Linked DNA regions of Astyanax mexicanus. The protein of the gene in region 2 interacts with the protein of the main gene of each other region in a biochemical or structural test. Links are inferred from orthologs where the notes say so. Each region holds a gene or a part of one and is shown on either strand. Other genes may lie near its edges.

The links.
Region 1: of the proteins of ikbkb (region 2) and nuclear factor 7, brain-like, one has a biochemical effect on the other in vitro, tested with the Homo sapiens proteins (2 studies listed by BioGRID). The link is inferred for Astyanax mexicanus from reciprocal best matches to the Homo sapiens genes IKBKB and TRIM21.
Region 3: of the proteins of ikbkb (region 2) and nfkbib, one has a biochemical effect on the other in vitro, tested with the Homo sapiens proteins (2 studies listed by BioGRID). The link is inferred for Astyanax mexicanus from reciprocal best matches to the Homo sapiens genes IKBKB and NFKBIB.
Region 4: of the proteins of ikbkb (region 2) and tnfaip3, one has a biochemical effect on the other in vitro, tested with the Homo sapiens proteins (2 studies listed by BioGRID and IntAct). The link is inferred for Astyanax mexicanus from reciprocal best matches to the Homo sapiens genes IKBKB and TNFAIP3.

Annotation. Positions count from the first base shown.
Region 1 is NC_064415.1:5,422,882-5,429,997, reverse strand, and holds nuclear factor 7, brain-like, read left to right. Parts: upstream 1-4,110; 5' UTR 4,111-4,299; coding exon 4,300-4,887; intron 4,888-4,983; coding exon 4,984-5,079; intron 5,080-5,166; coding exon 5,167-5,400; intron 5,401-5,495; coding exon 5,496-5,643; intron 5,644-5,716; coding exon 5,717-5,743; intron 5,744-5,843; coding exon 5,844-6,391; 3' UTR 6,392-6,651; downstream 6,652-7,116. UniProt on the Homo sapiens protein: E3 ubiquitin-protein ligase whose activity is dependent on E2 enzymes, UBE2D1, UBE2D2, UBE2E1 and UBE2E2.
Region 2 is NC_064419.1:217,605-225,232, forward strand, and holds the start of ikbkb (inhibitor of nuclear factor kappa-B kinase subunit beta), read left to right. Parts: upstream 1-4,617; 5' UTR 4,618-4,837; intron 4,838-6,037; 5' UTR 6,038-6,070; coding exon 6,071-6,175; intron 6,176-7,628.
Region 3 is NC_064408.1:33,211,258-33,218,901, reverse strand, and holds the start of nfkbib (NF-kappa-B inhibitor beta), read left to right. Parts: upstream 1-4,638; 5' UTR 4,639-5,124; coding exon 5,125-5,594; intron 5,595-6,818; coding exon 6,819-6,936; intron 6,937-7,644. UniProt on the Homo sapiens protein: Inhibits NF-kappa-B by complexing with and trapping it in the cytoplasm.
Region 4 is NC_064414.1:16,579,348-16,586,479, reverse strand, and holds the start of tnfaip3 (tumor necrosis factor alpha-induced protein 3), read right to left. Parts: upstream 3,007-7,132; 5' UTR 2,872-3,006; intron 1,882-2,871; 5' UTR 1,845-1,881; coding exon 1,538-1,844; intron 1-1,537. UniProt on the Homo sapiens protein: Ubiquitin-editing enzyme that contains both ubiquitin ligase and deubiquitinase activities.

The sequences.
Region 1 (7,116 bases), on a different chromosome or scaffold from region 2:
GGCAGTTTTAAAAACTGTCAGGTAGCTTCCTGACAGTATGCCGGCACTACTAAAAACTGTCAGGGAGCTTCCTGACAGTACGCCGGCAGTATTAAAAACTGCCAGGGAGCTTGCTGACAGTACGCCGGCACTACTAAAAACTGCCAGGGAGCTTCCTGACAGTACGCCGGCACTACTAAAAACTGCCAGGGAGCTTCCTGACAGTACGCCGGCACTACTAAAAACTGTCAGGGAGCTTCCTGACAGTACGCCGGCAGTATTAAAAACTGCCAGGGAGCTTGCTGACAGTACGCCGGCACTACTAAAAACTGCCAGGGAGCTTGCTGACAGTACGCCGGCACTACTAAAAACTGCCAGGGAGCTTGCTCACAGTACGCTGGCACTATTAAAAACTGTCAGGGAGCTTGCTGACAGTACACCGGCAGTATTAAAAACTGCCAGGGAGCTTGCTGACAGTACGCCGGCACTATTAAAAACTGTCAGGGAGCTTCCTGACAGTACGCCGGCAGTTTTAAAAACTGTCAGGGAGCTTGCTGACAGTGAGCCGGCAGTTTTAAAAACTGTCAGGGAGCTTCCTGACAGTACGCCGGCACTATTAAAAACTGTCAGGGAGCTTCCTGACAGTACGCCGGCAGTTTTAAAAACTGTCAGGGAGCCTGCTGACATTACGCCGGCAGTTTTAAAAACTGGACTCTTTCATATGGGAGTGGACCTGTTTTGGCATTATGGAAAAATCATGAGAAATTTAATTTTAAGCATGAATAATAAAAATAAATAAATAATATAAAATAAACAATACAGTGAATTTTTCCCAAACTTGCAGGAGTCATAGCCTAGGACAGACTCTTTCAAATTGTAGAGATCATGAGATCATGAGAAATTTAATTTTAAACATGAATAAAATAATAATAATAATATAAAATAAACAATACAGTGAAATTTGCCAAAACTTGCAGAGGTGATAGCCTATGTTTTGGCATCAAATGCTAACAGTGGAACTGTTTTGGCATTATGGGAAAATCATGAGAAATTAAATTTTAAGCATAAAAAATTAATAAATTAATATAAAATAAACAATACAGTGAAATTTGCCCAAAATTGCAGGAGTCAAAGCCTAGGACAGACTCTTTCAAATGGTAATGGAACTGTGTTGGCATTATGGGAAAATCATGAGAAATGTCATTTTAAGCATAAAAAAAAAAAAAAAAAAAAAATTATATAAAATAAACAAAACAGTGAAATTTGCCCAAATTTGCAGGAGTCATAGCCTAGGATGGACTCTTTCAAATGGTAGTGGACCTGGTTTGGCATTATGGGAAAATCACAAGAAATTTAATTTTAAATATGCATATACTATATATATATGTTTATATCTATATATTTTTGTAATTAATATAAAATAAACAAAACTGTGAAATTTGCCCAAACTCACAGGAGTCATGGCCTAGGACATACTCTTTCAAATGGTAGTGGACCTGGTTTGGCATTATGGGAAAATCACAAGAAATTTAATTTTAAATATGCATATACTATATATATATGTTTATATCTATATATTTTTGTAATTAATATAAAATAAACAAAACAGTGAAATTTGCCCAAACTCGCAGGAGTCATAGCATAGGTTCTTTCAAATGGTAGTGGATCTATTTTGGCATTATGGGAAAATCATGAGAAATTTAATTTTAAACATGAATAAAAAAAACAATAATAATAATAATAATAATAATAATAATAATAATAATATAAAATAAAAAATACAGTGAAATTTGCCCAAACTTGCAGAGGTGACAGCCTATGTTGTACTCTTTCAAATGGTAGTGGACCAGTTTTGGCATTATGGGAAAATCATGAAAAATTTAATTTTAAACACGCATACACTTTTTTTATTAATATAAAATAAACCATACAGTAAAAATTGCCCACACTTGCAGAAGTGATAGTCTATGATGGACTCTTTTACAAGGTACTGGATCTGTTTTGGTTTTTTGGGAAACTCATGAGAAATTTTAATTTGAAGCATGGATTGAAAAAAGTAATATTAATATAAAACTCTCTCTCTCTTAAACACTGATGGGATATTATATCAAATAGATAATGTACTGCACAAAATATACAGTGAGGTGAGTTATTTTAATCCGTTTTTTCTCGTTTCTGGGCTTAATGTATGTCTGAATTAATATAATAGACTGAAACGTGTCGGTCTCCCGTTCTCTGTGTTTTTTAAGCGTGCTCTCCGCCTGCGCGGCTGTTTACCGTAAAATCGCACGTATACGCGCATCAAAATTTAAAGCGCGGATGACTTGACTGAGAATTTCCGAAGCGCGGATAGCTTGACTCCGGTCTTACTGTCAGCTAGCCCCCTGACGGTTTTTAATAGTGCCGCCGTACTGTCAGGAAGCTACCTGACAGTTTTTAGTAGTGCCGGCGTACTGTCAGGAAGCTACCTGACAGTTTTTAAAACTGCCGGCGTACTGTCAGCAAGCCCCCTGTCAGTTTTTAGTACTGCCGGGTACGTGCCTGGCACTGCCGGGTCGATGAAAAAGTGTCTGGCGGGTGACGTCACGAAGACCCACCACTGCCGCCCGTCTCCCGTCAGGCAGAGATCCAACCCCCTCTCCCTGTGTGCTCGCGGAGCGATTTTTACTGCAACAAAGCTGCCAAAAGTCTCCAGCCAATCAGAAGTGGCAAAAGGATTTGACCAGTTAAATAGACCGCTGAGGTCGTGCGTCATTCTGTAGTTCTCGTATGGCTTATAAGTGTCTGAAAGTTCTCAAAAACTCGCCTCTATCACATTCTGTGGTAAATAAATCTGTTCAGAACTCTGTACGTTTTATTCTGTGTACATTTTCCTCCTATACATCACTAGATCCTCTGAATTATGAGATCGTTTAAGAGTTGTAATGAGAAAAAATGCTAGCTTTAAGCTAACGCTTATCTGTGGCAGGAAATGCCAGAGTACTCGATTCTGCAGTACACCAGCGAACTCCGGTCGGATCGCGTTTTGCACTATTCTTCTTCTTCACAGAGGATCATTAAAGTATTTAAACAGGTGAAAACTCTATCAGTATGGTGATGTTGAGCAGTGTAGTCTGTGTTAGAGCTTTAAAAGGCAGATAATAAGAGAAAGTGGTTCTCAGTTCAGGAGCAGCGCTTCCCTGCGGGTTTAGTATTTAATTACGGTCATTAGTTTATACTAATTACATACTAAACACATGACTCAAATTATCAACTAACAACTAATCAACTAACTAACTGCCCTCACTGAGGCGAGCTGTGTGTTACAGCAGTAAAACTAGCAGGACAGAGTTACTCCAGAACCACAGAGCTAACCCAGCTAACTGAAGAACTACAGAGTCTAAAACACTTGTCCTGTAAAACATGTAGAATGGCTTAATGTGAGTTTTTTTTCCACTGAAAGACATTATAAGGATGAATCTTAACGTGGCTTAATGTACTGAAACAACGAGCCAGAAAGACCAAACATTGAGATTTATTTCACCAAATAAAAAAAAGGTAAATGGTAAAACGTGCTACAGTGTTTAAAGCTGGTTTTGGAGTAACTCTTTATTGCTGGGTTAGTTTTTTTTTTTTGCTGTGACACAACCAGCTCTCCTCACAGAGGTCAGTTAGTTCATTAGTTGGATCAGCTGTGTTTAATATACTGTAAACATACTGCCGGAGTTTGCTGGTGTTGTGCCGAAAAGAGTCCCCTGCTGATCTCTGCAGCTGCGCTTGGATGTGAGTTCTGTGTGCTGTAGCATTAGCTCAAAGCTAGATATATGATATATCCCAGATATGATATATCTGAGAGTGCGTGTGATGTTTCGTACAAGAGGAGAGTTAATCTGAGAGAGAGCATGGTAAATTTGTGAGAGCGCACCTATATTTTACACGTGAGCAAATAAAATCTGTGAGCGCTGCATGAAACAGACTCTTACATTCAAAAACTTCGCTCTCGACTATTGGCAGTAAAATATGATGCCATAGTAATGTCTCTTAATCTTCCTCCTGTTTCTGCTTCCTTCTGTTCAGCTAATTTTTTTACATTCACTGCTCTTCTACGTGTTTAAACTGCTGTAAGACGCTCACTTCTTTTCTCCAGCTCAAGCTGTTCACTTTAGTTCAGTCCCAGAGTTCAGCTTTAACAGCTGGAATGTGGAGATGATCAGCAGCTGGATGGGTTTGATGGTGAAAAGTGTGAAATTGTTTTCATTCACTGACTAAGAATTATTCTGAAATGATCTCTGTGCTCTCAGATCACCTTCATGCTGCTTCTCTGTGTCTCCTCAGTCAGTCATGGCTTCCTCCAGCAGTCTCCTGTCTGAAGATCAGCTCCAGTGCTCTATCTGTCTGGATGTGTTCACTGATCCAGTCTCTACTCCATGTGGACACAACTTCTGCATGGTCTGTCTCAGAAAGTGCTGGAACAGCAGCTCACACTGCCAGTGTCCAGTCTGTAAAGAAGAATTCTCCAAAAGGCCTGAGCTCCGTGTGAACACCTTCATCTCTGGACTGGCTTCTGAGTTTAAGAAGTCAGTTCAGGAGAAGTCCAGCAGAGCTCCAGAGAAATGTACCTCCAAATCTAAGAAGGTGCTGTGTGTCTATTGTAGTGAGGAGAAGCTGGAGGCTGTAAAGTCCTGTCTGGACTGTGGCGTTTCTTTCTGTGACACTCATCTGATGCCTCATAAAACTACACCCAAATATAAGAAACACAAGCTGATGGATCCTGTGGAGAACCTGGAGGACTACATCTGCCAGAAACATGAGAGACCCCTGGAGCTGTTCTGTAGAGACGACCAGACGTGTGTGTGTCAGTTCTGTACTGAGGGAGACCACCGGACTCACAGTACTGTTCCTATAGAGGAGGAGAGTGGAGAGAAGAAGGTGAGAGATGTTTAGACAGAGAGTTATTAACACTAATTTTACTATTCTCCTATTTTTCCTAAGAATAACTGATCATAATGTGTCTCTTTATCACAGACTCAGCTGGAGAAGACACAGGCAGAAGTTCAGCAGATGATCCAGGAGCGACTGAAGAAGATCCAGGAGATCAAACACTCTGTAGAACTCAATAAAGTGAGATTCTATAGCGTTTAAACTCATTTTAAATATGAAAGCTGCTCTTTAAACAGTGTTATTGTTCTTATTGTTGTCTCCTTTTAGAAAATCAGAGAGAAGGAGAAAGCAGACAGTGTGGAGATCTTCAGGGCTCTGGTGCGCTGCATTGAGAGAAGCCAGGCTGAGCTGCTGGAGGTGATGGAGGAGAAGCAGAAAGCAGCAGAGAGGCAGGCTGAAGAGCTGATTAAAGAGCTGGAGCAGGAAATCACTGAGCTAAAGAGGAGAGACACTGAGCTGGAGCAGATCTCCCACACTGAGGACCACCTCCACCTCCTACAGGTCAGAGTCCCTCTGTTTCTCAATAGTAATGCAGTCCATCACAGGACAGCACTGCCCATGCTGAGGGGTTTCTCCTCTCTCCTGCTGTACTGTAGATTTACCCGTCCCTCTGCAGACCCCCACACACCAAGAACTGGACTGACGTCAGTGTTAACACTCCTCTGAGTGTGGAGAGTCTGAGGAGAGCTCTGTCTCAGCTTCAGGAACATCTCACACAGGAGATGGAGAAGATTGGTAAGAGTGGTAAGTGTTTACTGTTCAGGTTTTTAATAAACCTGAATTTAGAATCTAATAGTCTTTATTCTTTTTCAAACAGAACTGAAGAGAATTCAGCAGTATGCAGGTGGGTGGGGCTTTCACTGATCACATGATTCAGTCTGTATGATTCTCTATTTCTTACAGTATGTTGATTAAAATGGGTTTAAACTGTGTTTCTCTCTCAGTGGACGTGACTCTGGATCCTGATACAGCAAATCCTTTTCTCATCCTGTCTGATGATGAAAAACAAGTTAAACTTGGAGACAAACAACAGAATCTCCCTGATAATCCAGAGAGATTTGATCCTTGTGTCTGTGTTCTGGGAAAGGAGGGTTTCTCCTCAGGAAGATTTTACTATGAGGTTCAGGTCAGTGGGAAGACTAAGTGGACATTAGGAGTGACCAGAGAGTCCAGCAACAGGAAGGGAAGGATTATACTGAGTCCTGAGAATGGATACTGGACTGTGTGGTTGAGGAATGAAACTGAATATAAAGCTCTGGAATCTCCTCGTGTCCTCCTCTGGTTAAATCAGGCTCCCCAGAAGGTGGGGGTGTTTGTGGATTATGAGGAGGGTCTGGTCTCCTTCTATGATGTTGAGGTCAGATCTCATATCTACTCTTTCACTGGTCAGTCTTTCACTGAGAAACTCTATCCATACTTCAGTCCTGAGCTCAATGATGGAGGTAAAAATTCAGCTCCACTGATCATCACTCCTGTTCAACATTATAAATGAGCTTTATTGTTTATTTACTCGATCAGAATCTAATTTGTTGAGTCAGAACAAAAAATCTGATTGTAGATTAAAAGTAGATTTTGGGTAACAAAAGCTAGTTTCTGTTTAACAAATTAATATCTAAATAAAATCTTAACAATTTCTACACAAAGATTCTCTTTATATCTGTTTAAAAGATAATTTTCTGTTAAGTTTTTGTTCATAATGGTGGTAGTTTTCCCCTTTTATTTTCTGTATTAAATCATTCCTGAATAAACTGTGAGATCTGCAGGTCTGTGGTGTTTTATTATATTTTATATGTTTAATGAATCTACATGTTTTTTAGATGTTTAATGATTACTGCATGTGTTTATTCAGTATTAAAATATACAGATTCAATATAATTAAACTTACTTTTAGTTAATATCTTAATATCTTATTTAATTATTTACTTATTTTTAGTTAGTATTTAGTTTACTTTTTGTACAATGTCTTAGTTAGTGGTATTTTTTACTATCTACCTTTTTATTCTTGTTATTGTTAAGTACTAATTAGCTATATCTCTGGTCTTCTTTACTCCATAGGATCTTCTAACCAGTAAAGTCTGGATCTCAGATTTAGCAGAAGTTCAGTACACACTGTGTTTCAGCTCAGATTCAGTATTAAACACACAAAAAACCCAAAACACCCCAAAATCGGTTGTACAATAGTTGTGTTTACTGCTTTGTGCTGTTTTATTTGGCTGA
Region 2 (7,628 bases):
TACATACCCTAAATCATACATATCCTAAATCATATATATCCCAAATCATACATATCCTAAATCATACATATCCTAAATCATACATACCCTAAATCATACATACCCTAAATCATATATATCCTAAATCATACATACCCTAAATCATACATATCCTAAATCATACATATCCTAAATCATACATATCCTAAATCATACATACCCTAAATCATATATATCCTAAATCATACATACCCTAAATCATACATACCCTAAATCATATATATCCTAAATCATACATATCCTAAATCATACATATCCTAAATCATATATATCCTAAATCATATATATCCTAAATCATACATACCCTAAATCATACATACCCTAAATCATACATATCCTAAATCATACATATCCTAAATCATACATATCCTAAATCATACATACCCTAAATCATATATATCCTAAATCATACATACCCTAAATCATACATACCCTAAATCATATATATCCTAAATCATACATATCCTAAATCATACATATCCTAAATCATATATATCCTAAATCATATATATCCTAAATCATACATACCCTAAATCATACATACCCTAAATCATACACATCCTAAATCATATATATCCTAAATCATATATATCCTAAATCATATATATCCTAAATCGTATTTATATTTTCATATGCAGTAAAATATGCAAAGATCGAACACATATACTGTTTAACAGGTTTGGGCTGCAAAAAACAGACTCACAAATCCAAAGTCACTTCTACAGCCCTGACTGTAAATAAGGATACATATAGAATTGAGAAGTATAGAAATCGTTATGATTTTTGAGATGTTTGAATGAATTCAGCTACTTTATGTTGCATGAATTACTGACACAGATGTGCACAGGTTTTGTCAGTAGAATAGATTTATCTGGAGAAGGTCTCTCTGGAATGGTGGAGCTCCATCCAGCACTTCAGTTTGGTTGGGTCAGTTGGGTATTTGTGGGGGTAAAGTGGGGGTGTTGCACTGTAAAAATGTTCATAAATGTTTACAAAAATGTAAATAGAATAATCATTTTTTTAGGTAAGATTACATTTATTTACAGCGATTATGTCTCAAGTATTTTGAGTTAGGTGAACGTTTGACATCTTTGCGATGGAAATGATCAACTGGACCGAGAATGCTCCATGCTAACAAACAAAACACCTGCAGTGATGCTGAATTTACTCATTTCTCTGACCTTGATGTTTCTCATTAATTACCTGCAGCTTTGTCAGATTGTCAGATTGTCAGATTGTCCGGCCTCAGTGTTGGTGGCTTTAAGAGCAAGTTACCTTTTTCTGTATATTTTGGATTTCCTTAACATTTTAAATAAGCAGTGTGCAGGTCTTTACAGTGTAATAAACAGTATATTATATTAATAAAAGTGATAAAATGTAAATGTGTGTCACTATCAGTTTTCATGAATATGTAATATACCCACAGTAATCACAGTGTATTTAAATGATTGAATATCTGGTGCTGCGTGACTCAGGCGTGTTTATATTCAGGACTACTGCCCTGTATCATCCTGCAGTTCACTCACTAACAGGAAGCTGTGGTGTAAACACACTCCTGTAGTTAGGGGTGTTTTATCCGGACGTCACTTCACCATCAGCGTCACGCTCACCAACAGACAACGACACACTGCCCAACAACACCGTCACCGCGCCGCCTCCCTCCCCGTCACTAACACTAGTGATCAGACCGTCTCTCAGATGTGGAAATGTGGGAAATAACTGTGATAAATGTGGGATGATTTGAGTTAAATATCTAAATGCTTTCGGTTAAGTTAGACTGAGTTGTTTTCTGGTGTTTATTTAGTGGTCACCAAATCAGACCAACATTAATTAAATACCATGAAGATGCAGCTCATCCAGATTCCAGATCACAAATATTTAACAAACTCAATCAGACACATTTATTCAGTTACTGTCTGAAACTAACGGTTCACTTTGAGATGATTTGGAAATGTTTCACGTTGGCAGAACAAGCACCAGGAGTAAAGCAGCATAAAGTTATCCAAAAGCAGTGTGTAAGACTGGTGGAGGAGAACATGATGCCAAGATGCATAAATTCAATCTGTGATTAAAAAACAACCAGGATTATTCCACCAAATATTGATTATTTCTGAACTCTTAAAACTTTATGAATATGAACTTGTTTTCTTTGCATTATTTGAGGTCTGAAAGCTCTGCATCTTTTTTGTTATTTCAGCCATTTCTCATTTTCTGTAAATAAATGCTCTAAATGAGAATATTTTTATTTGGAATTTGGGAGAAATGTTGTCTGTAGTTTATAGAATAAAACAACAATGTTCATTTTACTCAAACATAAACCTATAAATAGTAAAATCAGAGAAACTGATTCAGAAACTGAAGTGAAATCTTAATTTTTGCAGAGCTGTATATTAATATGTTATAATACTGTAATTAACTAAACATACTTTAAATGTTTGTGACGCCATTCCCACTTTCATCATCCAACACCGGAGGTAAATAAATTTACAGTGAAACCGTGCTGTTCTCTTCTCTAAACACTCTTCTGTTTTGCACTGGAATGATGGAAAAACAGATTACACAAGAAATACTGATTTAATCATTGTGGCTTTTCTTTGGTAAATCAGACTCAGTGTAATCTGAGGGTCTTTGCTGAGAATTTATCAGCAGGATTCTACCCTTGTGAAAAAATATTTTTTTAATATAATATTAGTGTACTTGAACTACATGTGGAATAATTATCATATACTTTTCTGCCTATACATATATCTTTACCTGCTTAATTTACCTAGTTTTGTACTGGTGATGTACTTAATAAAATACATGCTTAATATTATTTTATAAAACTGTGCATTTTTATCACAAAACTATACTTTTATTGAATTCAATAAAACTGTACTTTAGTGAAATTTGCTAGCAAAACATTTTTTTTGCATATTTTGTGTTGCTTATAAAAATTAAAACTGTGCTGATGAACATTTCAGGTTTTAAATAAAGTTAACTTTATAGGATATCTTCAAATACACAGCATACACAAATATACTTAAATTGTATTAAATAGTGTCGTTAAATAGTGTATTAAATATTTGACTAGTACACTGATATAATTATATAATTTTAACTACAATTTTAATAAAGTACAAATTAGTGGTTCCAAAAAAACATAACTTAGTACAGTCCTAATTCAGTATAATTTAAGTATACTTTAAGTACAGGAGTAAATCAGATCAGAGAGCAGAGCCTCTGTGTTCACATCCTGCAGAACAATATTAAATAAACACATTTCCTCAATCTGAACCAAAACTGCGGAGGAAGTGAGTGTGAGGAAGGTCCGGGGTAGAGGTGTGTAAATCTGTTCACACAGGGAACTACAGCCGGAAACACCGAGCTCACGCCTGTACCAGGAAATGAACACATAGACTCAACACTGCCTGATGAGGGACAGGGTCAAGATTACGTTTACTGTAATATAAAATTCGAAAAATGTATTTTACTTATTAGAATTGGCTTTAGAATACTAATATATGCTCTTTAAATGTCTTCATAATAGTTTTTTTTTCAATATAGTTGCATTGTATACTTTAAATATCATAGTAACTCTAAATTGTTATTTATGAGTGTTACAAAATGTTGGAAACTTGTATTACCAAAGTTTATAAAACTATTGGTTCCTGCCATCATTTATTTACCTTTTACACACTGTAATTCCCAAACATTATTCAAATATTTTGAGTTAAGCGAACATCTGTGCCCACATACACATTCAATCAGAGATCTAGCAGTTTACAAGGGGCACTGAGTGATGTATGGGTTTAGGGGCGGGGCAGAAGGGAGAGCAGTGTGCCTCTGATAGCAGTGAGATGCAGATGGTTGGATGTCGTCAGCAGGGGGGCGGTATTATTGATTGATTGACTGATTGCTTGATTGATTTGCTTATTGTGAGTATCCATGTACCAAAGTACACAGAAACATCTTCCACAACTATAGCACAGTTAAATCTGTGAAGGCGCTACAGAGGCAGAAATAAAATCCACCATAATAAAAGCCTTTTTTGTAAAGGTTTGAAAATATATAAATATAAAAAAAAAATACCAAGACTGGTATGTTTCTTTACCTCAAAAAGGGACACGTTTCAGCTATTAATGAAAAATAAAATGGTTTACAGGGTTTTAGTGACTCTTTAGGTTTTAAGGATTTTAAGTACACTTTAATAGAAGAGATTGTTTTAATATTAACTTGAATATATCTTGATAATTATTTCTTTATTAATAATTATTTTATAAATATTTATTAGTACATTTATAATATACTTTTTTAGGGTAATTATTCAGTAAAATAAATTAATTTATCAGATTTTACACTATAAATGCAGGATTTGTCTGATAAAACGAGGCGCTTAGTTTTCCCACCCGTTTTCTGACATTGTCCCACCCAATGACTGTATCGGCCACATTCTCAGCCAGGATTGGCTAGACGTAGAGAGCTTCTGTCCCCTGATTGGCTTGTTAGATTTAAGTATCCAATCCTCTCCGAGAGGAGGCGGGGTTTACCTGATTACAGGTGTGTAAAAAAACGCAGCTCAGTGTTTACGGGAAGTGACTTTTCACTTTTCAGTATGAGGAAGTGTGTGCGCGTGAAGTTTTAATGGAAGATTCAGCTTTAAAAACTACATTTTACCGCTTTATTAAAGATTAAAGAACAGATATAAACACTGGGTATAACAGCGCGGTAGTTACATCGTATTTAACAGTGTATTTAAGTGTTTAGAAGCGGTGACTTTGATCCTGTTGTTGTGAAGGAGCGGATTCAGGTGATAAAGGTAATGTGTTGTTTAGTTTTACTGTTTTATTCTTATTTTACTATTAAATAAACAGATAAAGTATAATGCACACTGTCTCTCACATACACACAGCTCATTATTCACTGTTTTAAAACTATAAAACATCATTTTCCTCTTTATTAACTCTAAAACTGGAGTAAACAGAGCAGAGCTGCTGTAGTTCTGAATGTACCGCGTGCTGATAAAAATACTGATACTGATATAGATAGAGCCCACGCGCGAGAGTTTTAACCATAATACTAGAAATATCATTGGTTATTTTTGTTTTAAACATATTTGATTGGTTTCCTTTATCTCTTTTTATCTTATTTTCACTTCATTTCTAAAAATTCCTGTTCTTTTTATAAGTATAAGCTGCAGTCCTATATAAATTTCCTTTGTTTTTAATTTAATTTTATTAATAATAATAATTAATAATTTAATTAGCAACTAAATGCCCCAAACAAATACAAGTACATATGGTTGTAGTTGGTGTGGTGTAGTGGATAACACCACCGCCTGCCAGTGAGCTACGAACAACATGTGGGAGACTGGGGTTCAATTCCAGAGTCCTTGGACTAGACTCCTAACACTACATTGGCCCATTTCTGTAACAGGAATAAACTTATAAGTCACTCTGGATAAGAGCGTAATAATAACCGTAAATGTGATGGTTATTGTAAAGAATAAATAGAGTATTATACCACAGTTAGTTCCGACCCTGCAATGTGATTGGCTGAAAGGTGTTCTATGAGTGCCTTTATCAGCCGGTAATGCACTGTAACTAGACTCTCCATGTATTACTACGCCCACATACAGGTAACCTAGCAACGATGCAGCGCTTACAAACCAGACAGCGCAGCTACAAACAGAGCAGCAATGGAACTATTTTAACCAAACAGATCCTATTTTCTCCTCCTCTTTAACTCTTTAAAATCTTTCAATAAACAGTGATAATTGAACTGTGGTATAATTAAGCAATAATACACTCCTGTTATAGCACTGCCTCTTGAGAATTATTGGGAATCATCTTAAATCTAACCTCAAGTGATGGTTATATATATATATATATATATTCAGGTGGCAGCTGTTTATCAATAGGGCATCCCAAACTGTATGAATTTACTGTAAAATAAAAACAGCAACAGGTTAAAGTGTGTTTAATTCTTGTCTCTTTTTTAATGATTAATTTCTCCTCAGGACTGTGGAGAGAGCTGGACCTGAGGGGTCAGCATGAGCCGAGCTTCTCCCATGCAGCCCCAGAACTGCGGACCCTGGGAACTGAAGGAGAGACTCGGGACCGGAGGATTTGGAAATGTTACTCGGTGGCAGAACAAGGTATAAAACACTGTCTAAAACTTATAATAATAATAATAAACTTTATTTTTTATAGCACCTTTCATACATAAGCTCAAAGTGCTTCACAATAAAATTTTATAAATTAGCAAAATGTAACAGTAATATAAAACAAATAAAACAATTAAAAAGTAACAATTTCATAAAATAGTAGGAAATAAGACATTTATATTAAAATAAAATATAAAATAAGATAAATGTAAACAAAAATGATAAATTAAGAATAAGAACAACAAAAGCATTTACATAAAAAAAATATGCTAGTATAAGCAGTACAGAACTTGTAGAAAGCTGAACAGCTAAAGGAAGGTTTTTAGCTGTGTTTTTTAAAACTAGTAACACTCGATACCTGACGAATATTAATTGGTAAAGAGTTTAATATTTTCCAGATAAAAATCCAGATAAAGAGCTGTATATTTTACACCCTGCGCAGGATGTCTCGAGATGCTCATCGCCATCTTACACCCCGTCAACATTCCTCGTTTAAACAGCAGCAGAGCTATTTAAATTTGCTTGTTTATCTTGGTAACAGAAAACACAGGAGCTCCACTGACTGAATACAACCTAGACAGATGCCAACAGTCAGACGTTCATCGCTATCTTGTAATGCTGGTCATGTTGCTGTGCTGGTCATCCTGTAGTCCTTTATCAGTATTTTCATTAGGTTTTCTATTCTGTGGGTCCTGAGTATTAAAGAACAGAGTGAAAATTTGAAGGAGGAGAATAATAATAAAGTATAATAAAGAATAATGTTATTATTATTGATCTGTGTTTATAATCTGCAGGGCTTCTTTTCTTCATTTCTCTGAAGTGTCGTTTATTTAGTATCTTCGTTTATGGTAAAGGAAGCTGAGTCAGTCTCACCTCACCTCAGAAATACATCAGAAATACACAGATAAAAATAGAGCTGCTATTGTTTACCACACACCATTACCAACAATAACCTGTTAAACCCAACAGGAAATATGATATATATATGAGCATCCTCTTAAGGTGATCTCATACCGGGTCATCACCTGCCTCACCCTGGCAGCCGATTATAACTTTAAATATGGTGGAAAAGGTTGAAAATCCCCCTTCTCCTCCACCAGTCTTACACACTGCTTTTGGATAACTTTATGCTACTTTACTCCTGGTGCAAAAATTCAAGCAGTTCAGTTTGGTGGTTTGATGGTTTGTGATCATCCATCTTCCTCTTGATTATATTCCAGAGGTTTTTAATTTGGTAAAATCAAAGAAACTCATCATTTTTAAGTGGAATCTTGTTTTTTTCCAAAGCTGTATAGTATCTGGCTGCATGCCGATAAATTATAAATGTGTTCTGAGAGTCACTAATGGTTTTTATTTTAGGCGTCTGGGTCAGGACCTCTAAAACAGCTGGAACTGTAATATTAGTGGAGGTTTACGTAACTGTGCTCTTATTATTCTGCTCAGA
Region 3 (7,644 bases), on a different chromosome or scaffold from region 2:
GCAATTTATTTTTTCATATTGTGATATCAATTTATATTTATTGTATATGCAGCTAGCCAGTGAAGGTTATCATTGTTGTACATAAACAACACATTCATTTTATACATACAGATGCTACAACTGTGATCACTTGTAATCATTAAAAAAAACTTTTTGGTTACATTAAAATGCATTTTTGTAAAGTGGACAAAAATATAATTATAGATGCCACCTCTGTGACACAGTGGAACTGAGGCATGTTTTTCTATTTCTATTTCTATGTATGTTGTTTTTCCCTCATTTTAATTTAGTTTGATTTGATAGATTATTCACCAATTAAAGGTCTCTTCACACTCACAGCTTTTTATCATAAGGTTTTATCAGAGCATTGTTTCAAAAATCTTTGTAGCATCTTAAATTCTTCAGAATGTATGACACAGATATCCAGGAATGGTGTCAAGGTGAGCCATCTGGGCATGTCAGATCCTGTCATGATCACCTTTTGGACAAATAAAATTAGAAATATCACCAAAAGAACATTGTTATATTGTTTTTTTTTTTCTTTTTATTTAATTTTTAGTTTTTTCTTTACCAAATAGGTGAAGAAAACGTTTGTTACTGTATTTTTCCTATATATATATATTTTTTTATCATTTTCCATTTGTCCTAAAATCGCATGGTTATTATTGATTTTATACAGCAGCATTATCAACAAAACCACCAACTAATCATTTTCCCATGCCTGATTCAGCCCCCTTCATGGTCACCACCATGGTCACTTTAAGCACAATATCCAGCTCTTAAATCACACTGGAAATCATCTCTGGAAAGGCTGATGATCCAGCATATCTGCTCAATACAGTTGGAAAACTGTTTTTTTTCATCATTCAAGAGGAAAGTGTCGCACTGCATCCAAAACATAAGCTATACCCTGATGCTGATATTCCTGAAGAAGAGCTGATCCCCATGAGTATGACATCATCAGGGTATGCTCAGAAAGGATGTTCCTTTGTTTGAAAAGGATGGAGACTTTCACATGTGTGTGTTCTGCCATCTGGTGGTGCAAAATATACCTATATATCAACATGCTGTGTGCGGAGTAGGTTAACACTGAAAAACAAAACTCCCAACTGCCAGTACAGTTCAAATTGATCTACAAAAGTATTCAACAATTTTCTACTTAAGTACTTTAATTTAAAATGTACTACTCAAATACTGAAAATAAAAGTACAAGTACTGTGTCATTATTGTGTAGTTATTACAGAAAGCAGTAAAAAAAATGTTTATATTGTTTATCATCAAATGTTTAGGCTAAAGAAAACTCACAAAACATTTTGCTGTAGCAGCAGTACAAACACAGGACTGTACAAGATAGAATACAAGCACATGACATCTCCAATTAACTCTCTAAACAAACTCTTCCAAAAGAAATGCTAAAGAAAATTGACAGCAAGACATTAGTATATTTTATAACTATTGTAAAATCCACTAAAGAAGGCAAATGCCACATACAAGTGTTAAATACGTAAAAACAAGTGATTAGAGTATCTTAAAACACTGAGCTTAACCCTTTATATATAAAAAAGATAAATTTTCTCCTTTTCCCCTTTAAAACATGTCTCTCTTCTCTTCCCCACTCCCACAAATAAAAACATGAACTCTAAGCAGGGCCAGGGGTGGTCTCCTTTCTTACCCTCACCACTATTATTCGAAAGTTGAAGGTGCTAGAGGTGGTGTTTCCGGTTCTTTCATCTCAAAACAAACTAATAAAGCTCAAGTGTTCTCAATGCAGGCTGGCAGCAGAGTAAAAGGCAAAACAGGAGCAGCGCTGTCTTCTTATAAAATCAGCTTAATCACTTGAATCTCTCAATGATTCTTTTAATGTTGAGCAGCTTTATCAAACCCTGTGACACTGCAGAGCATATAACCCTCTTGCTTTAGTGATAATGCCTGTTTGGATTGATTCGTAACATTTTTATAATTGTAACGAATAACGATGCAGCACAATAAAAAATGATCAGAGTAAGAGAATTAAAACTCTTTAAAAAACATATTACTTCAGTAAATGCAGATACAGTGTTTTAGTACTTAAGTACAGTACCACTACTAATGCGGTGCTTGTGTGTCAGGGAAGATGTTAGCCTAAGAGCTAACCCCAGGAGCCTCGCAAACACATGATGGGGCCGTTCACCACTTAGCTCAATTAGCCAATCACTGGTATCGACGGAGCTAGATGCCACATAATGTTGGCCACCTTGAAGCTTACTGTAAATAAATGGGTTTCAGGAGAAATATACATGTAAATATTGCAGGTAGGGGGCCTTTCCTAACATCCGCCATCTCATTGCCTTTTTTCCTGACAATTTTTTGGCTCAAATTAGCCTATATTTTAATTTTTTATATATTATTTATATTATTATATTATTTTAATAATAACAGCAATAAACTAACACTCTGGTTTAGCTCCAGCTGAGAGAATCTATTAATCCAGAACTGTACTGTGGAACTCAAATTTGAAACTATAGAGCACTAAGGTTATTTTGAAGGTGTTTCCTTTAACCTAGCTTCTGCTGCTGTACTTGTGGTTAGTGGTGTTTATGTGCTCTGCTACTCACTTTATGGGCTGAAAGATGCACTCTGGAGTGATATTATCCAGTTAGAGAGATTAAAATCTTGGTTCTCATTACTGCATGAGGTACGTTACTCTTTACTGGCCAAGCAAAGCTGTGCTAGCCTGTATCCCTGACTAACTGCTAACAAATGAGTGGCTGCAGCTGTTCTCCAGCTCCTGAGCTCCATCTAGTGGAAGATGAGGTACAGCAGCTTTCTGTGGATTTCTTTGGATATGGAAACTGTGGTGCTGTTTTCCCCGCCACAAAGTACTAAAAGAAGATGAATGGTGGATGTTTTAAATGAAGCATCTTCAACTACTGCAGCAGCTCCTCTTCTCTAAATGGCAGAGGATATAAGTTAAATGGTGCCTCACAACACTCTTTGTGGTGTATTCATAAAACTGCTGTTCATGCAACAATCTCCTCTTTTTTTGTTATACACTCTAAACAAGCATATAATACTACTCATTTTGTATATATATATATATATATATATATATATATATATATATATATATATATATATATATATATATATATATATAGATCTGATGTTTCAACCAAAAAGAGTCAGTGACCAATGATGTTGCGAAAATGAGGGTGCGCTCATTCAAGACTATAGCCTGATAGTCCAGTGTGGCCTGCAGGGGATTACCAAAAAAAAAAAAAGTCCCTTAAATAAACACTGCAAAAATACTCTTCTCTTCTGGGTGTTGGATTTCCATTTACCAATATGGGATTGGGATCACACATATAAGCCTAAGTGCAGAAGTGCAGAAGTAATTCTTTAGGTGATACCTCAGAATTGCACATTTGCTTGGTTTATGTGAGAAGTAAACAACACTGTTTTAACATGTTTAAAAATGTAGTTTGTACATTGCCTTTGTTTTTTGTTTTTTTTTGGAATGGGTTACAGGCCTGAAATGCAGGAATGGATATATAATAACAAATGAAATGAAGTGAAGACAATACATGTCTGCAGTCTAAAAAGTCAAAGTAGATGTTAAAACAACTGTGTGTGTTTCCTCTTATTTGCATTTACAAAACTGGTCTTACCTTACTTTTTGTGGTTCTATAACAAGATATGTCACAAACACACCCACAAACTACCAACAAAGCATTAGAACCATAGAACGAAAGAAGGAACAATAGAATGACATAACAATAGATAGACAGATTTATAGACAGACATAGAGTTTAAAAGTATTTTTGTTATCTGTGGTGAGTATTGCATTATGCAGTAATGCTGACTAACATGTTTAATATCTAAACTTTTAAACAATTGCACACAATTACAATAATATGCAATAACAAAAATACCAGTGTTCAAATAAATCATGACTTGCTGTTTTTCTCTACATGTTTAAAATGCTGCACTCAAAATCCTGACCATGTTTATAAAAACTACAGATCACTGTGTTTATAAGTACTGTAACTAATGCATGGGCCAATTAAATTTGAATAAAATTTTAATGAAATGTGTTGAACTGGTCAGTGTAACGTTTAGCAGTTTCATTTTCTGACTGTATCAGGCTACATTCGAAAATAGAAAATTGGGTATAAAACTTAATATTTTTTTTACATTCAGTATAGTGAAGATGAAATAGATTTTCACTTATCTTTTTTTTATTTCAGCCTTTCACAAACAAACATCCACGAAAATTAAAACGATGAATCTTCTCTCGACTTTTGGATTTGTCCATTTTTGTGTCTTGTAACACAAATCTGATGGTTTAATCCAACTTGCAAAATGCAAAAATTGACAAATCAGAAAATAAAGAAAATATCCATTTTTTTATTTTCCTGAGATAAAAAAAAGAAATAAAATTGGAAACATGGATAAAAACGTATTTCTTGTACACTGCACTACATTTTAAAATGTTATTAATTTAGTTTTTACATCCAATTTTCTATCTTTGTATTTAGCCTATAACGGTCAGAAAGTTCAATTAATAAACGTTACACTGACCGTAACTAGTGGTGTGACCTATTGGAACAGAAGTGTGCTACATAGGCAGTAGGGTGTAGGGAGCTGGGAGCAATTTGAGACGCCTGTGTAACAAAATCCCCAATCGAACCGGTCCGGGCTGGGAATTCCCCGGGAAATCACCTACTCAGCCAGCGAAAGGCGAGAGGCTTTTTCTGGAAACTTGGCCGCTGTGGAGCCGCGGGTGTGCTGCTCGCACGGCTGAGTGAAGGGTTTAATATGGAGCGGACAGAGACATGGAAACGGGGCTGAATCACGCCGCGGAGGCGCCTGGCGCTGTTGTTGTGGCGGAATTTGATCCCAGACGAAAAACGGCCCTGAAAACAAACGGCCAGAGCTGAGCTAAACTCGGGCTAGCCGATTAGCCCGTTAGCTGGTTAGCTTGTTAGCGCTAGGTGGCTAACAGCGGGCGAGCTCTCTGTAAACAGTAACGTTAGCTAAAACCAGCGGGTAGTTTGTTTGGTTTTTGATCCGGAGGAGAAAGTGGCTGGCATTAACGACAGAGGCTTGATTTTCTCGGAGCTATAGCCAGCTAAATGATTATAAATGGAGTGGGCGCACCAACGGTTCTCCCAAGACCTCCAGAGCGGCGGCTATGGGGAGCAGGACGGGCAGCCCGGGGCCGGGAAGGGGCGCTCGGAGATCCCCCCTGAGGACTGGTGCGACAGCGGGCTCGACTCCTTCCTCGACGCCGAGAACGAGCCCGTGCTGGAGCTGCCGTGGCCCCGCGGGTTCCCGGCGGACTGCGGCGGAGCGGGAGAGAGTCAGAGCGGGGAGTGCGTGTCTCTGGGCGGCGGAGGAGGGGAGAGGCTGGACTCCGCTATCGGGGACTCCATCACAGACGAGGCGGCGGCGGTGGAGAGCCTGTCGGCCGGGATCAGGACCGTGCTGCTCGCGGGGGAAGCCGAGGAGAAGGCAGCGGGAGCCGGGGACGGAGAAGAGAGAGCCCGGGAGGAAGAGCAGAGGAAAGAGGAGCTCTGGAGGACTCTGAGCTTTGTGTCGGAGGACGGAGACACGTAAGAAACTTTTCTATAAGCTAAGTTAGATCACGATGTTTTAATTATTCATAATCAGCGCTGTTAAAGACGATAAAATGTTTAACCTGTTAATCTAAATGTAAAGTGTGCGTTGAGACCACTATTGCATAACAGACTGGACAACCTGGCACGTTTCACCAGAGGTGTAAAAGGCCAATACTAGGGCTGGGTATCAGCACTGATTTGAATATGAATCGATTCGATTCCGGTTCACAAGTCGAATTTGATTCGATATTTATTTAGGGATATTTCACTTAAAAATTAAAAAAAGCTTTGATAAGAAAAAGGTTTATTGTTATTATTATTGTTATTATTATTGTTATCAGCCAGGTCTGTCACATAAAAAGTAGAAGGTATATTGTGGCAGAAATAATTGAAATAAACAAAATTATTTTCTTTTTAAAATGCCTCTGATATAAAGATAATATAATAGTATAACATTTTTGTATAAGGTGTAATGTGGTAGACATTATTGTGATATATACAGTATTTTTTACAGAGCCTTGCAGTGTATTTGTTTTAGCAGTTTTAAATGTGGTAAACACAGCACAGCTACTGTTTTCCTCTTTTGTCATTTATTTTGTCAATTGTTGACATTAGTGTGCTTTTTGTCCCCCCTTACAAGAAAACAAGGATAGTATCATGATTAATTACAGAATATTGTTGATTAATGTGAATAAAATTTTGAATCAATTCACACTGCCAGTTTATATGAATCAATATTAGATTACCTAAGTAAATATAGATCTGAATAATAATAAAACAAGATTGTGGTGCAGTATACATAGTTCGCAAACATACTGTTCCATCCACAGCTCAATAGGTGTTTAATATATCAGTTTGGCTTAGGAAGCAGTTCTAGGCCTAGGAAAAAAAAACTGTAGTGTGAGAATGTCTATAGGGTCAAGATTATCTTAATTGGTAGAGCAAGTTCTCATTGTGATGCTTGCATGAACATTTAAGAACTGCCTTTGTGCCATAATGCTTTGGTTAACCCAGCCCTGTTTAATTCTGGGAGGTGTAAAAAGTGTCATATAAAAATTAATACAGCTGTTATTAAACAATCTGTCTGGGTTTAGGTACTAAGCTGGGTGAAAGAGACCACCTGGAACATTAGTTGGGCTCTTTGGGTCTTTTCTGGGTCTTTCCTGCTACTGCTGTTTTATGTCTGCTGACCTTTTTGACCTTTTCCTGTTCTGGCAGTGCACTACACCTGGCGCTGATCCACGAGCAGTGGGGATTTGTGCAATACCTGCTGGAGCTCATCTCCCACAACCACACCTGGACCCCATACCTGGACATTCAGAATGATCTGGGACAGGTCAGCTGGAAATACACACACACACAAACACACACACATTAGGGCAGCATGATATTTGCATAGTACATATCTGCTTGAGAATTACAGAATTAAAAATATAGAAATAACCTAAATTTCTACAATCTACAAATGTTTATGTATTTATATCAGCAGATTACTAGTAGGGCCCTATCAAAAAAGCAGAATTCAGATATAAACATGAAACAAAATCTGAAAATGTAAAAAAGGAAGAAAAAAAACAGCACTCCGAAAACTGTAAATATGATTTTCTTTAAGTCCCTGTACCTCATACAAATGCTAAAATTCTTCTGTTTAAGGATCGCATGCATATAGATGGCTAGCTGGTGTGGGAATGTCCAAAAAAAAAAGCTAGCTTCGAGTAGCAAAAAACATCAAATAAATAAAGTAACACAAAATTCAGGGAACACCAGTTTCTATGTAGTATATTTGTGTAACTGAACTAATGTCGAAAACAGTGTCTATTTATTGAGAAACAGCATATTGTTGTGGGCATTCACAGGAGGATTTTGGAGTCTTACTTCATTGCTAATGGTACATGCTAAACTAACTGAGTGCTAATAACCTTGTGGAGAAACTAATACACAGCAGTTGCACTGAATTGCATATTTATCTTTTATTTGTTTAAAAGATATTTGCTACAATCAGACGAAGTTACAAATTACACTTGTATTATTAAATATATTATTT
Region 4 (7,132 bases), on a different chromosome or scaffold from region 2:
CAGTAATGTTTATATGTCGTAACTAGGGATCTTAAATGTATCAAATGTAAAATTAATTAAGTATCCTGATGCAGGTCACACATCATAAATTATTTCTTCATGTATGGGGATATTATATGTTATAAATCAATTATAATAACACATTGGCACAACTGGTGAAAAAAATGATATGAAACACAGGGAGGTGATTGTCAGAAATACCCAGCTCCTCACTCACAACCACATCCTTATCAGCATGGATCGCCATTTCAGTTGCAGCTTCAGGACATGGACACAAAATAAAATGAGTCAGCTGCACAGACACTGGAACGGATTGTCCTGCTCTCCCTCACCCCTGTCCCAGTGTCACCTGATACTATGAATTCTAGTAATCAGCAGCCAGTGGTATCCATTCTGAGAAGTCTTTTATTCAAAGCAGCACATTCAGTTCCAACACTTTCACATCCGCAAACGACTTCAAAACACAAAATTCCCAGACTAGATTAATTCAGAGGAAGCTGCACAGAGTCCAAATATCTATATTAGTAACATATGTACAATAAACCATATAAATTAACTGTTTTAGATGCTAGCTACAAGAGGAAAAGTCAGCAAATAAAATGTCTGGATTCAACAGCTCAACTCTGAAACGATTCGAAGTCACCACAATACCACCGTCACCCCAATCTTGGAAACACACTAAGGAAAAAGTTCTAGTCATGACAAAAGGTGATGAACAATACATTTTGGCCGACGTCTCCTTTCAACTTTCTGTAAAACACAAGCTTTCATGACACTTCTGTTCAGGTGGGGCTATTGTAACATAAGTGACTGTAAAGTGAAGCAAAAAGGGCAAGTACACAGATGCTTCCTCTTGTTAAATTACTCATCCTAAGCAAGCAGAATAGCTTGACCTCAAGTTAACAGTAGAAATGTTTAACTCTCTTAGAGCTTACAGTTAACAGCGCAATAGTGGGGCCACTTAAAATCAAATCACACCAAAAAGGGGTGCTACAGGATTTTCCCTCTATGTCTAAAATGCCTGTGCATCAGGCATTTAAAACAAACACAATATACATCCACAACTGACTATTTGATCTTGTCATAATTCATACACAAACCTTTAGCAAGTCTATCTTATACTGAACAGAGTTCACCACAGACAAATTTGTATGTGCAGTGGGCCAGTTAGGCCTAGAGGGCCTTAAATGGGCACAATTCGTTAATGAAGCAAAAAGGGAACTGTGAATAGCCAACAGGATCTGCACTACATGAGAAAACTTTTATGTTAATGCTATACATGATTACAAACAAATCCTTATTAGATGATGGCTAACTAAAAAACTTTGTATTCAGCTGTAAGCTTGCTCTACAGACATACCCTGTGTTAAAGGCAAACCAGTTTACCACTCTAAAGCCAAGTATATCCATAATTTTCAGTCTGCAGGACTCTCCAATCTGATTTGTACAAAATCCCCACAAAAAAGCAGCTACCAAAAGAGATGCTCAGGCTGGCCAAATCTCATTTCTATGTGACAACCTAAAAGCAAGACTTTACCGTTCGTCCGGAGCGGCACCAGCTTCTTGACCTCTCGGCACCAGTTGAGCCTCTTCTCCTGCTCCAGGGAGATCTGCATGGCCCGGTCCAAGATGGCTGCCTGGATGACTTCGCAGAAGGCCTGCGGGAACTGGCTCATGCGGATCATCTCCAGAGTGTAGCGGTGCATGCCCCGCAGGTGATGGAGCAGGCCGCCGCTGGAGGAGGGCTTCACGACATCGTTGGGGACACGTTCGCGTATCTTTACAGCCTTTAGAAGGTTGCTGACAAACAGGAACTTGGGCAGGAAGTTCTGGCCCTGGGACATTGTGTTCTTGGGAGAGGAGCGGGACACCAAATTATTTCTGTTGGGGGGAAAAGAACAGCAATAATGACATTACTCAACATGTACAATACTCAACCAATTACTCAACCAATACACTCTGACAATGTAGGCTGGAGTAAATATGTGGGTTAGATATAACAGGTGGGCCCATGGAGCCACCTGACGTTGGACACTACCAAACCCTTATTGTGAAACACTTCCTCGAGGTCATGATGACAGAGATGGACAAAGGGTAATTTTTGGTCTATTACACTACAGTCTGCGGACGGCAGACACACACACACACACGATTCTCATCTTCTGTCAGTGAAAGTGCCTGAGGATGCTAAGCTAACCTACAAGGGCATCATTTAGGCTCTCCTGCGCTCAGTCACAGGCTGAGGTTGTCTGAGGACAACTTATACAAATACCCTGCCTCTCTCACACACACACACACAACTCATGCCCACCGTCTCTGCCCGCAGTAAAACGCTGCTCAGAGGAGAATGGCTGAGCGGACCGGGGGTGAGGCGGCGGCGGGGTGTTTTGCTCGGCTGCAGCACAACAATAGGAGCCGCTGCGTCTCGCCGCTCCGCTCGGGGTAAAGCAGCGGCGACGGCGAGCTGGCGCTCCAATTACGTAATTCTGTCCCTTACAGACAATAAACCCCCGCCACACACACTCCACAACCCGCCACACACACTCCACTACCCGCCACACACACTCCACAACCCGCCACACACACTCCACTACCCGCCACACACACTCCACTACCTGCCACACACTCCTCATTCACACTGGCGAGGCCGACAGCGGGCCGCCGCTGCGCGGAGTGTTTAATAAGCGGCTGTGAGGAGCGTCTTCACAAACAATGGCTGTCAGACCCGGGCATTCAGAATCACACCGTCCATCCGCTCTCACTCACACACCGAGTCACCGCGGCCCGCTCCGAACCGACTCCGTCTCATTTGGCTCAGTGTGGAGTCAACACGGATAATCGCGGGGCGGACCGGGGCCGCGCGCCTCTTACCTGCTCAATATGTCGGTATCCAGCAGCGGAAGCCCGAGAGAAAGAGCTGCGACTCCGCGCCTCCTCGGTCCCCCAGTCCGGAGCGCTAAACCCCGCTAACCGCGCTGCTGCTGCTCCATGGCGCTTCACACCGCGGGCTGATCCGCACCACCAGCCTCCTCACAATAACACGCTCTCTCTCACACAGCGGAGCGGAGCGGGGCTTAACCAGCCGAAAAGCCTTCGAGTTGATGTCAACAAGGAAAAGCCAGCGGGGATTTCCAAGGAGGTACTTTCCACTTTCACAACCGCGCGCAGCCAATTACCTCCCCAGGCCCGCGCGGACGCTCGCGGAGCGCGCTGACGTCGCCCTCGAAACGGTGACGCAGTTACGCTGCTAATGTTTGCCACACCCATCGGCGGAGGTCTGGCCGGGAGTATCTGTCTGCCCGCTGTCGGGCCTTTAAATCTTTCTATTGTCTTAAAAAGCTCCAGCCTTTACCACCCATGAACCCACCAGCCCCGCTGCCTGCGCCCCTCCGAGCCTCCCCCGCAGCGGCGCAGGGCTGCTGTTAGCCGCGGAGCGCGCCTGTTTCAGGCCTTTCAGCGGGTTAGTGCTGTCTGAGACTGAGGCCCGGCCAGCAGAGGGCGCTCAGACCCGCAGCCAGAGCACCCTCACCACCCTCACTAGATAACACCTCAATACCACCACCAACTACAATTCAGTTACGTCTATATAACTGAGTTAAACAGCTTTAGGTTTATTCTGGGTCAAAAAAGGAAAATACCTACACCACATGAACAACATATTGGGACAGCTGCTCATTATTTTTCTTCCAAAATTAGGGATATTAAAAAGGGTTTGTCCCCACTTTATACTAGACTATAAAGCATTGCTGTGAGGATTTGATGCACTCAGCACCAAAAGCATCAATATATTGGAAGAACCCTCATACGTCTAACCCATGCCTGGCATCACGTTCAGGCTTACATTTATCTGCTCCAAAAAGATTCTATTATCAGTTCTTCTCTACATGGACTAAGCAGAAACCAAGTAATAGTGGCAAAATGTAGTTAATGATAAAAACACGTCTCTAAAAATATAAAAACATAGAATTTAGTAATTTTGCTTTTTACTCATTTTTACCCTACTGAGACAAACTTATTTGCATATCACTCTGACCTGAGCTAAGAGGCTTTTGGCATTGTTTTGGTAAATGGATAGTAATATATTGTGTAACATTTTTAGCTCTTTTAGATCCTATCATCTTATAAATCTTATGTGTAACTGGGAAAATAGCGTCTGTATTGTTTACAACACTGTCTGATGTTGTTGAAGTAAGCAGGACCCAAAAAACTATGTAATGTTATGTAACCTGAGAATCTTGTACTATTACTTTGCTGTGTCAGCTCACATGATTGTTTCTCTTTCAGTGTTAAGTCCCAAAATGCATGTATAAAGTGTGTTGCTGGGTGGTGGCTTAAAGTACAAATGCCACAACTGTACGGGGAGCCCAGAAGCAAGAAATACCAGTTTAACTGCAGCCATTCTCTCGTTCATATGCCAACTGTACAGATAGCAGTACTGTAAAAAACTGATGACAATCTTTTAAGTGTTGCAGTACAGGGTGTCTTCTCAAAAAAGTATATTTGTATTCTAAAATTTGAAAGAATAAAACAAAATAAGTGGGTGACCAACAAATCCATGTGTGGAGCCACCGTGTCCAGCACCAGGATCAACTGTTTGTTGTAAGGCATCACACATTCATAAGGCCTGGTGTCACGGGATGGATTATTTGAGACCTCTGTATCTGTACCTCAATGAATAGGACCATGTCATTCTAAATTACTAACCTTTTTTGGTATTGGTAACTTTTATCTTCCTTCTGAATAACTTTACAATCCCACACTTTCTTCTGGGTGCAAAAGTGTATTTACCAATTTTGCTCAGCCTACAGCAGGAAAGCTCCGCCCATACTCACATTTATGTTTTAGAAATATTTCAGTTCAAACAGCTTTTTGATTGAGGCACGGTAAGAGACGGGCACTTTGAACAGTATTAGGATGACATCTAAAACACAAATTTTAACGTATCCTTTTTGTTTAAAATTGTCGTAAAAATAAATGACGCACATTTAGAAATGGACCTTAAGGAAAGTATTTGTAATATAGCAGTTATTATATTATAACTATCTAGTAATCTAGTAAGTAATTCTTTTACTTAATGATGATATAGCTGATATAGCTTACAAAGATCATCTGCAGCATCATCTACCCACACCTTTAATAGGTGTGTATACTGTATATATTAATGAAGGATTGCAAGGAAATGAACTAAAATGTATAGATGAATAAATGTAGCTCTAGTTCTATTTTGAGCCATGTATAGTAAAGTAATGTGTTCATCTAGTGTAGTTATGCTTTTATTGTGGTTTAGGAAGCATTGTATTTACATTGTTTCTAGTAAAATTATATGTTGAAGTAGTCTAAACTATAATAACCATCTAATTTAAATGATATTTGCTTAAATAATTTGCATGTTGCATAGGTATAGGAGTTTCCATTAGTCTATAATAGAAGTATTGTGTTAAACTAGTGTAGTTTGATTATATAGTGGTATGGATATAATAGTTTGATATACACATAAACGTATAATTCCAGTTATTTATCATTGTGTAGTTAAAAGTACACTACATTCACTGTCCATCTTATCAGCTTCTCTGATCATATATAATTGTATAATTACAGACTGTAGTCCTGTATTCATGTCTCTGTACACTGTATTATTATTCTTCTTTCACCCTGTTCTTCAGTGTTGCTGTACAGTTTGTGTTTGTGATCCTCTAGTCCTCCATCAGGACACTATTGGTTGGATATTTCTGGTTGGTGGAATATTCTCAGTCTAGCAGTGACATGGAGGTGTTTAAAAACTCCAGCAGCACTACTGTATCTGATCCATTCGTACCAACACAACACACACTAACACCTCATAGATCACCACCATACTGATCAGTGTCAATGTAGCCGCTCTATGGTGGTCTATTCTGTAGGGTCTCGAGCATTAAAGAACAGAGTGAAATAAGGAATGTACCGGTAATTATAAATTATAAATTGTAAGTATAAAACATTTTAGTTGAAAACCTGCATTCATGCCGGCCTGTTGCAGATAAGGATTGACACAAGTACTGCACAAAATCCAAACAAACACGACTATACTGTTTATTTACTGTACGCTGGTCAGTGTTCTGAAATTTCAGACATCGTCCATGATATGATCAATAAAGCATGCTGTGACATATTTGATCATAACATTAAAATATTGTCACATTTTCCACATATAATAATCACCTGCTCATACCAGTGCTTTACCAGAACATGTACTGTACTATCTTCCCTCATTCAGGCTTGTGCTATACCCACGAATAGGTATTAAGACTGTCACACAAACACATTTGGTTGAATCATCATGTTTTCAGTAAATGAACAGACAGGTTTATACTGTTCTCAGTATTTTCTGGCTAAGATTCAGAAATATCAGCTCTTGTACTATGAATTAATTATTCTAAATTGTCACACAACCTGTTTCAATTTGTCTGTTTTTCTTTGTAAAGAATTTGTTCAGTAATCCCAATATACGTACCCAGTTTCAGTCTGCTCACACACAGTGCAGGGACATCTACGAAGCCTTCACTGTGTCCATGCCTGCAGCCTATTCCTTTTTTAAGTTGCTTCTTCTAATACTTTGTTCAGATTTTTACTGCCGTATGGCCTTGTATAATGTGCCACACGCTGCTTAGAGTGGATGTGAACATACATATGATTCACATCAATCAACCGTCCACTTTTTTTCTCACTCAGTTTAGTCAAGGGGAACTTCCCCGGGGTTATTCTCAGACAGAGATGAAAAGAAAGAAAAAAAACTTTATGAAGTGCAGAAAAGTTTTTCCACAGCCTGGCCTACTCTGCGCTGCTGTACATTCTGTTTATAACCAGGTCTAAAATAAAGATCAACCAGTTTCACACTGATACATCTGGTGTGTCTATAATAATTAATAATAATTCTATAATAACACAAGTTACTGTTTTATGATAGGCACAGAGATTATTAAGCTTATTTGTGTACATTCTGTCCAGGCCAGTGTTCAGTAGATGTATTTATTATATGGTTCACATGACTTTGATCATTATAAATGCTGTGACTCAGAACTATGCAGTGCCGGGGGCTTCCAGTTGGGAAACACTGGCCTAATAAAACTGTTTCATACTAGTTAAAAAATCACCT